Linked DNA regions of Canis lupus familiaris. The main gene of each other region encodes a partner of the protein of the gene in region 2 in a complex. Links are inferred from orthologs where the notes say so. Each region holds a gene or a part of one and is shown on either strand. Other genes may lie near its edges.

Region 1 (4,389 bases), on a different chromosome or scaffold from region 2:
GTCTTTTTTCCTAATTAGTTTTTAAGACTTCTTTGCATATTAGCCCTTTATCATGTGTGGCAAGTATATCTTCCTAATGTTTTATTATCTGTTGGCTTTTATCCTACAGTTCTAATTTCTTTAGTGATCAAGTATATATTTACTAGTCTGAGTTTCTTGTTTTCCTTAAGTCTCCACCTCTAGATAACCCTGTTGGTCTCCTATATTGTTATTTTAGGTCTGTTTTATTGTTTAAGATCCTATACCATTTGTTAGCTGAATCTTTACTGAATCTACACATGGGGAATCTATTTCTGGTCTATTCTGTCGCGCTCATCTGTCTTTCCTTCAACAAATCACATTGTTTCATTACAGTGTCTTGCACACTATTCCGAAAAGCGAGTTCCTCCTCAACCTCGTTTACAGGTTTCCCCACTATTCTCATAATTATATGACTTTAAGATGATGTAATCAACCCCCAACCTAGTTGATTCTATGGAAATACAATGTATTTGCAAATTAATTTTGTTTTTTTTTTTGTTTTGGTTTTTTTTTTGTTGTGCAAATTAATTTTGAAATCGAATTATTATTGTTTTCTGCCTAAGATGATGTGTTCTTCCATAGGCTCAGTATCGCTTTGATCCTTCAAATAGACTATTTTATAGTTGTTTTTTTTGTTTTGTTTTTTGTTTTTTTTTAAGAAAACAGGAAGTCCCTTTTTACCTGCGGCGCGTCAACGGTTCCGGTTTACGGTCGCGCGCCAGCCCCTCCCCCGTCCCTCGGTTCCGGGTTACTATGGGAATCGAGACTTAACGTCACTAAGGGCTTCCGCGCCGGACCAAGGAGTCGACCATGAAGCGAAGGTCGGAGAGGCAGCCTTGCCCCATCTACGCATGCGCTCTCCTCTCCACTCCTCCCCGGCCGTAAATCTCGTTCTGCCGGGTACCGCCGCGACCTCTCGCTTAATCCCAGAGAAACTGCTCCCCGGGGGAGGAGTAGAAAAAGAACCGGACAAGCGACAGCCAATCCCATGACACTACGACGCAACCGAGCATTGACCCAATCAACTTCAACCAATGAGAAAGACCCTGCCCCCTACGTCACAGAGCTTGCCCCGCCCCATTCCCCTCCTTTCTGGACTCCGAGCTCAGTTCGCGCAGTAACAAATGAAGTGCGCGCTGCGACACCTCCCAGCTCGCCAGGCTCGGCCGCCATTTCTTCCCCCCGGCCTAACGGTCCGGCCAATCCCAGCGTGCATCGAGAGGGGCTAAGGCTCCGCCAATCGGAGGCCGCCGATTCCGACCCCTTGCCTGGGCTCGGCCCAATCCAGGACTCGGACCCGTCGCCCCCGGACCGCCCCCGCGGCGCCCTCTCTCCTCCCTCTTTGTGCGTCTCGCGCCGCCGCCGCCGCCGCCCGCCGCGTGAGAGGACGGGCTCCGCGCGCTCCGCGGCAGCGCAGTCGGGTCCCCTCCCCCCGGAAGGTTCGCGAAGAAGCCGCCGCCGCCACCACCGCCTAAAAGGAGCCGCCGGTGCCGGTCCCCGGGGGCGCCATGGCGACCGGAGCGAACGCCACGCCGCTGGGTAAGCTGGGCCCCCCCGGCCTCCCCCCCGTTTCCGGGCCCAAAGGGGGCTTCGAGCCGGGGCCACCGCCTGCTCCCGGGCCTGGGGCGGGGCTGCTGGTGCCCGGGCAGCCGCCGCCCCCGCCCGTGGGCTCGGTGGGAGCCCTGACCGCGGCCTTCCCCTTCGCGGCGCTGCCGCCGCCGCCACCGCCGCCGCCCCCGCCTCCCCAGCAGCCGCCGCCGCCGCCGCCCTCCCCGGGCTCCTCGTACCCGCCGCCGCAGCCTCCCCCTCCGCCGCCGCTCTACCAGCGCGTGTCGCCGCCGCAGCCGCCGCCACCCCATCAGGACCAGCAGCCGGGCCCGGCCGGCGGCGGAGGAGGTGAGTCGGGCCGAGAGAGCGCGAGAGGCGTCGCGCGGACGGGCCCGGCCGCCTGAGGGGCGCGCGGCGGCGGCGACGGCGGCTGCACGCGGCAGGGGCGCGCGCGCGCACGGGGAGGCCCCGGGCGGAGGCGCCAAGGGGCGCGCGGCCCGGTTCTCGGGCCCCGAGTGCGCACGCGCACTGGAAGGGGTGGGGGGGTGGAGCGCGGAGGGTGTTGTGCGCAGGCGCAGTATGGCTGCCGGGCTTTGTGGCCCGATAATAAATGGAAATGGGGTGGGGGGGCTCTGTGTTGCTCTCTACAGCTTGGTACAGGAGAGGGGTGTCGAGCGGGTTGAATTGGTGGACGGGTTGAGGGATGTGCGTGTCGGGAGGGCGTGAAAGGGTCAATTGATGACGTGGAGCACCTTTCTGATTCTAGAGAAGTCCAAAAGGTAGGAAAGCGAGAGTAATTTATCTCTCTGTGCGAAGTTTTTACTGCAGTGAAAGGAAGAGCTCGAAAAATCCTCAGTGGTGTGGTTGGAGCCGGTGCACTTTTGGAGGAAGGAATATTTTCCTAATCTCCATTCGTTTATCTTAGAGAAGTCTGATATGTCTCCCCTTAGTTGTTGGGGCTTTCCAAGTAGAACTGATTTGTGTGTACCAGATGTGTAGAAAGTTTACGCTTCTGTTTTGGAGGAGGAGTATTTGGCTGCTGTTGGATAGCTTGTATTTTGTTGAACTTTTGATACCTCATTTAGGAGTTCTGATGTTAAGTGTCTAAATTAGCCAGGAAAACTGAATGCTTATCTTGACTAAACTTCTGAAGAAAAAAGTGAGCTTTTTGAAGAATTGGGCTTTTTCACTTAGTAAATTGTAAGTTTGGTTGTGTTCTGGTCCCTTTAGAAAGGTGGCTGGTGGGGTTTGGAGGTGGGAAGAACCAACAGTTTTCTCAGCATACTTTACCACATCTGATTATTCGGTATATTTTGTCTCCCCTGGGGTTTTTAAAACATTTGTGGTTGATGTTGCATATCTGAAACTGTAGGGATTAAGATTTGTTAGCTTGTTTACATACTTCACGTTTTTTTGACATATGTTATAAATATGAAATATGTTTTTGGACCCAGAGCCAGGTATCTTTGTGGCGGCTGTGTGTCTCTGATTTCTTGGGTATGTCTTCCATTTTTTGCCATTTACGTTTTAGGTCAAGTTCTCAGTTTCCCAGTCTGCCGAGGTTGTGTGTAGTATTATAAGTATCGTGAACTGCCTGTTGGTAGTTAGTTTGTTGGTTTATATTTGTATTTGATGGGTTTTCTCTGCCTTTAGACTTCCCAAGTAAGAAGCGGAAGAGGAGCCGCTGGAACCAAGATACAATGGAACAGAAGACAGTGATTCCAGGAATGCCTACAGTCATCCCCCCTGGACTTACTCGGGAACAAGAAAGAGCTTATATAGGTAAATACACGTTCTGCACCCAAATATGTTTTCGGATTGTTATGACTTATTCTGAGCAGCGTTTTATGTGTCCTAAATTTGAGACTTTAAAGTCTTGTTCTTTTGAGATGAGGTATGGTCAGGTGTACTTTTATGACTTCGACATAATCCATCAGTTTTTGCTCTGTAAGTCCTGCATTTGAAGCTCCTGGTTTCGGTCTGTTCGTAACAGCAGTGTTCTCCATGAGTGCCAGGAAGGTAGAGGGACCCATTTAGGAGTGAGGGTAGTCCCCAGTCCAGTACCCCACCCTACACTTTTCAGCTGCTGTTCATTGCCCGTTGGTGAGGTGAGTGTCTTCTGCCTCTCTGGACACGGCCCCAAGTGGAGAACACTGCAGGTATTATAAACTAAGTACCTTTTTCACAGCATGGCCTTTCACCATTTCATATTCTTCCCTCCCCTTCAAATGTGGTCTTTTACTTTTTATAGGTACTTTCTGAAAAACTCAGTTTAATCAAAGAGTGGTCCTGAAAGTGTTGGCAGTATACATCCCTTTTTACGATTTTGTTGAATTTAACCTTTCCTTCAGCATCTTTTCTGGTTTGGTCTTTGGAGAGCTGCCTTAAAACGAAGGCTCTTTTACTATTTATTATCAAAGAATTCTGCTGGGAAAGGGGTACTACTTGGATATGGCATGAGGTGATAGGGTAAAAAAGATCTTAACTGTTGGGAAATTTCAAGACAATAATTATAGTAATTGTCCACAATGTAAATGAAGTTAACCTCAAAATTACCTTTTTTTAAATACAAGGTTTTTAATGCGAGTTTCACCTTTATTCATGTATCTCCAGCTGTCTCCAAAAAGTTCACTTGATAAGCATTTCCTACTAACCAAATAAACATCCCCTTTGGAGTAAATTAGGGCAAAGGCCGCCTAGGCCTGGGAGGCTGTAGCCTTTACAGATAAAAAGCTTCAAGGCTGGCATGTGTTATTCTTGAGGATCATAATCTCTTACATTTTTTAATTGCTGAGAGTTTTGAGGTGTTGGAATTGTTTG
Region 2 (3,816 bases):
ATAAAAAATTAAGAAATGATTACAGAGAATAATTTCTATTTTACAAAAACTTCTAATTTCATCTGTACTCAAATTGAATGAGAAGCTTTTTGGTTCATATCTGACATAAAAAAACTATTCTTGGTATCCAAAATAACAGAAGACAAAGTCAAAAGTTACACTATTTTACACAATTGTGAATTTGCTAGAGTTGGAAAAGTAAATAAAAAACTTCAAAAAAAAAAAAAAAAACCTTCAAGTATTACCTGTATCTTGGGTCATTAATGATCATTTTCATAGCTTGTTCCCATGAAGCATTAGAAGGTACCCGCTGAAAACCATTTAATGTCAAAAATTAAAATTTTGCACAAATACTGTAAAAGTCATACAACAGGAAATAAAGTATAATACTCACTGCAAACATCAAGCACTTCCCTTTGCTCAAATTTGAAAGAGGTCTAATAATTTCTTATTGAACCAAGGCAAACCTGGGTAATATATGTACAGACTAAAAAGAAAACTTAAACTGAAATTTAAACAGAGCAAGGATACTTTTCTTATGACTACTGGTTAAAAGATAAAAGATTATGAATAAAAAAACATAATTACATACAGAGGTAGAATGTGCTGTGTATTATACACTATTCACAAAAATTTTTTTTGGTTAAAATCAGTTTCACAGAAATATTCTCCAAAAAACTTTAGTTCATTTTTGGTTACAACATTTTATGAGATTAGCATTTTCAAAAAAGGCATCAAGGTGCTGATTGCATTAAACAGTAACTTTATTATTAATTATTGCACGTCATATAAAAATCTTTAATACCTTTTCTTTCAATAATTCTTTAAATGCTTGCTTTGCTTCCTCCTTTGTATTCCAAGTATAGGTTTTTTTTGCTGGTTGGCTTTCCTCCTCTTCTTTTTTTGGAGTAAAACTAGAGGGAAATTTAAATATGGTATTTATAACTTAAGTAAACATTTGCTTCGCTTATAAAAACAATGTTTTAATCATTTAAGCATTTGATATTGAGGTTAAATTTTATAATTTTAGAAATAAATTCTCCCGTATGAACCCTACACACTTACTTAAACATAAAGACATAAAGGTAATACACTTTTTTCCTGGAACATTCAGTTATTAGGACCCTGCATAGGGGCCTCTAAAAAAACAATGACACTAAAACATTAGTTCCACTAGTCCACAAATGAATACTTTTAAATGGTCTATAAAACTTACCTAGTGTTTTCATTTTAGTGGCCTTAGTAACTAAGGATTTGGGCAAGTGTGCATAAATATAAAGATATTGAGAGTACCTAAATCAGGAATGGGAAAAACTACAATTCATGAGAACCAAATCTAGCCCACTATCTGTTTCTATACATATAGTTTTACTCATAAGTTTATATATTATGGCTTCTTATATGCTACCACAGGACGGCATCATTTTAAGACTGATCCACAAAACTGAAAGTATATATATATTCTTTTGTAATTCACAAAAAAGTATGTCAAACATTGATATCAAACAAAAAGAATGAAAATATTCAAGAATTACCAACTGCACTAGTTTGGGGGTCTTTATAAAATGAAAAGATCATATACTACTAACATCTCTTCCTATATAAAGGTAAAATAACGCAGGAAAAAAAAAAAAAGAACCAGAATGCTTAGGGGAAGAGAATGGAGCAAATATTAAATGGAACAACTACACAAAATATATTCATACCCTCTGAGTCAAGTAACCTTACTTTGGGAAATTTATTCAAAATTATCAGAAATAGTATAAAGGGCCCAGTCAAAAATTACCACCTGTAAATGGTATATGTTGCAGAAATTAAAAAGTTTATGACGATTCAGGTACTAGAAGGAAATACTAGAAAGAAAATAAGCAGAAAGTAATTGTTGCTGAAATTACGAAAAACAAATTATTGTAGAAAAAAATAAAAGTATAGGGATGCCTGGGTGGCTCAGCGATTGGACATCTGCCTTTGGCTCAGGACATGATCCTGGGGTCCGGTCGATCCACAGGGAGCCTGCTTCTCTCTCTGCCTATGTCTCTGCCCCTCTCTGTGTGTCTCTCATGAATAAATAAAATCTTTAAAAAAAAAAGTATAAAAGGATATATAAAATACCATCCCAAAACTTTCAATGTCTATCAGAACACTGAAATTTACATATATGTAATTAATAATCATTCAACATGCTGGAGTATGTATCTTTTTTTAATTTAAATTCAATTAGCCAATATATAGTACATCATTAGTTTTAGATGTAGTGGTCAGTAATTCATCAGTTGTGTATAACACTCCGTGCTCATCACATCACGTGCCTTCCTTAATGTCCTTGACCCAGTTACTCCATCCCCCACCTACCTCTCCACTACAGCAACCCCCAGTTTGTTTCCCAGAGTTAATAGTCTCTCATGCTTTGTCTCCCTCCCTGACTTTTTTCCCCAGTTTTCCCTCCCTTCCCTTGTAGTCCTCCCTCCCTCTCCACTATTGCTTATATTCTACATATGAGGGAAACCATGTAATTGTCTTTCTGTGATTGACTTATTTTACTTAATTACCCTCCAGTCCCATCTATGTTGATGTAAATGGTAGGTATTCATCCCTTCTGATGGTCAAGTGATATTCCATTGTGTATATTATATATATATAATATATATTATTGTGCATTAATGTGTATATTATTATATATATTATATATATAATACACACACACACACACACACACACACACACACCACCTTTCCTTCACCCATTCTTCTGTTGAAGGACATCTCAGCTCCTTCTACACTATGGCTATTGCAGACACTGCTGCTATGAGCATTGGGGTGCACTTTTACTCCATTTGTATCTCTGGGGTAGATAATAGTGCAATTGCTGGGTCATAGGGTAGCTCTATTTTTAACTTTTTGAGGAACCTCCATACGGTTTTCCAGAGTGGTTTTACACCAGCTTGCCACCAACAGTGTAATAAAAGGATTCCTTCTTCTCCATATCCTCCTCAAAAGGTCATTTCCTGACTTGTTAGTTTTAGCCATTCTGACTGGTGTGAGGTGGTATCTCATTGAAGTTTTGATTTGTATTTCCCTGATGCCAAGTGATGTTGAGCAATTTTTCATGTGTCTGTTGGCCATCAGTATGCCTTCTTTGGAGAAATGTCTGTTCATGTCTTCTGCCCATTTCTTGACGGGATTATTTGTTTTTTGGGTGTTTTAAAGTTCTTTATAGATCTTGGGTATTAGCCCCTTAACTGTCATTTGCAAATATCTTCTCCCATTTCACAGCCTGCCTTTTAGTTTTGTTGACTGCTTCCTCTGCTGTGCAGAAGCTTTATATCTTGATGAAGTCCTAAAAGTTCATTTTTGCTTTTGCTTCGCTTGCCTTTAGAGATGGGTATTGCAAGAAGTTGCTGTCATCGAGGTCAAAAAAGTTGCTGCCTGTGTTCTTCTCTAGAATTTTAATGGATTCCTGTCTCACATTAGGTCTTTCAACCATTTTGAGTTTATCTTTGTGTATGGTGTAAGAGATTGGTCTAGTTTCATTTTCCTGCATGTGGCTGTCCAACTTTCCCAGTACTGTTTACTAAAGAGACTGTTTATTTTTTTCCATTGAATATTCTTGCCTACTTGGTCAAAAGATTAGTTGACTAATAGAGTTCGAAGTCCATTTCTGGGTTGTCTATTCTGTTCCACTGACCTATGTGTCTGTTTTCATGCAGTACCATGCTGTCTTGATCACAGCTTTGTAAGGCATTAAGATGCTCCCAACTCTGGCATTCTTTTCCAACATTCCTCTGGCTTTTTGGGGTCTTTCCTGGTTCCAAACAAA

What was found.
Region 1: the proteins of pre-mRNA-processing factor 40 homolog A (region 2) and SF1 are in contact, whole or in part, in an NMR structure (PDB 8PXX), measured with the Homo sapiens proteins. The link is inferred for Canis lupus familiaris from reciprocal best matches to the Homo sapiens genes PRPF40A and SF1. Residues at the interface, in NP_001352526.1 of Homo sapiens: His164, Ser166, Tyr172, Tyr174, Ser181, Thr182, Trp183, Tyr213, Tyr215, Ser222, Arg223, Trp224; in NP_004621.2 of Homo sapiens: Pro575, Pro576, Leu577, Pro578, Pro579, Gly580, Ala581, Pro582, Pro586, Pro587, Pro588, Pro589, Pro590.

Annotation. Positions count from the first base shown.
Region 1 is NC_049239.1:52,884,883-52,889,271, forward strand, and holds the start of SF1 (splicing factor 1), read left to right. Parts: upstream 1-1,529; coding exon 1,530-1,917; intron 1,918-3,222; coding exon 3,223-3,351; intron 3,352-4,389. UniProt on the Homo sapiens protein: Necessary for the ATP-dependent first step of spliceosome assembly. Binds to the intron branch point sequence (BPS) 5'-UACUAAC-3' of the pre-mRNA. May act as transcription repressor.
Region 2 is NC_049240.1:55,427,944-55,431,759, forward strand, and holds part of pre-mRNA-processing factor 40 homolog A, read right to left. Parts: intron 915-3,816; coding exon 806-914; intron 311-805; coding exon 246-310; intron 1-245.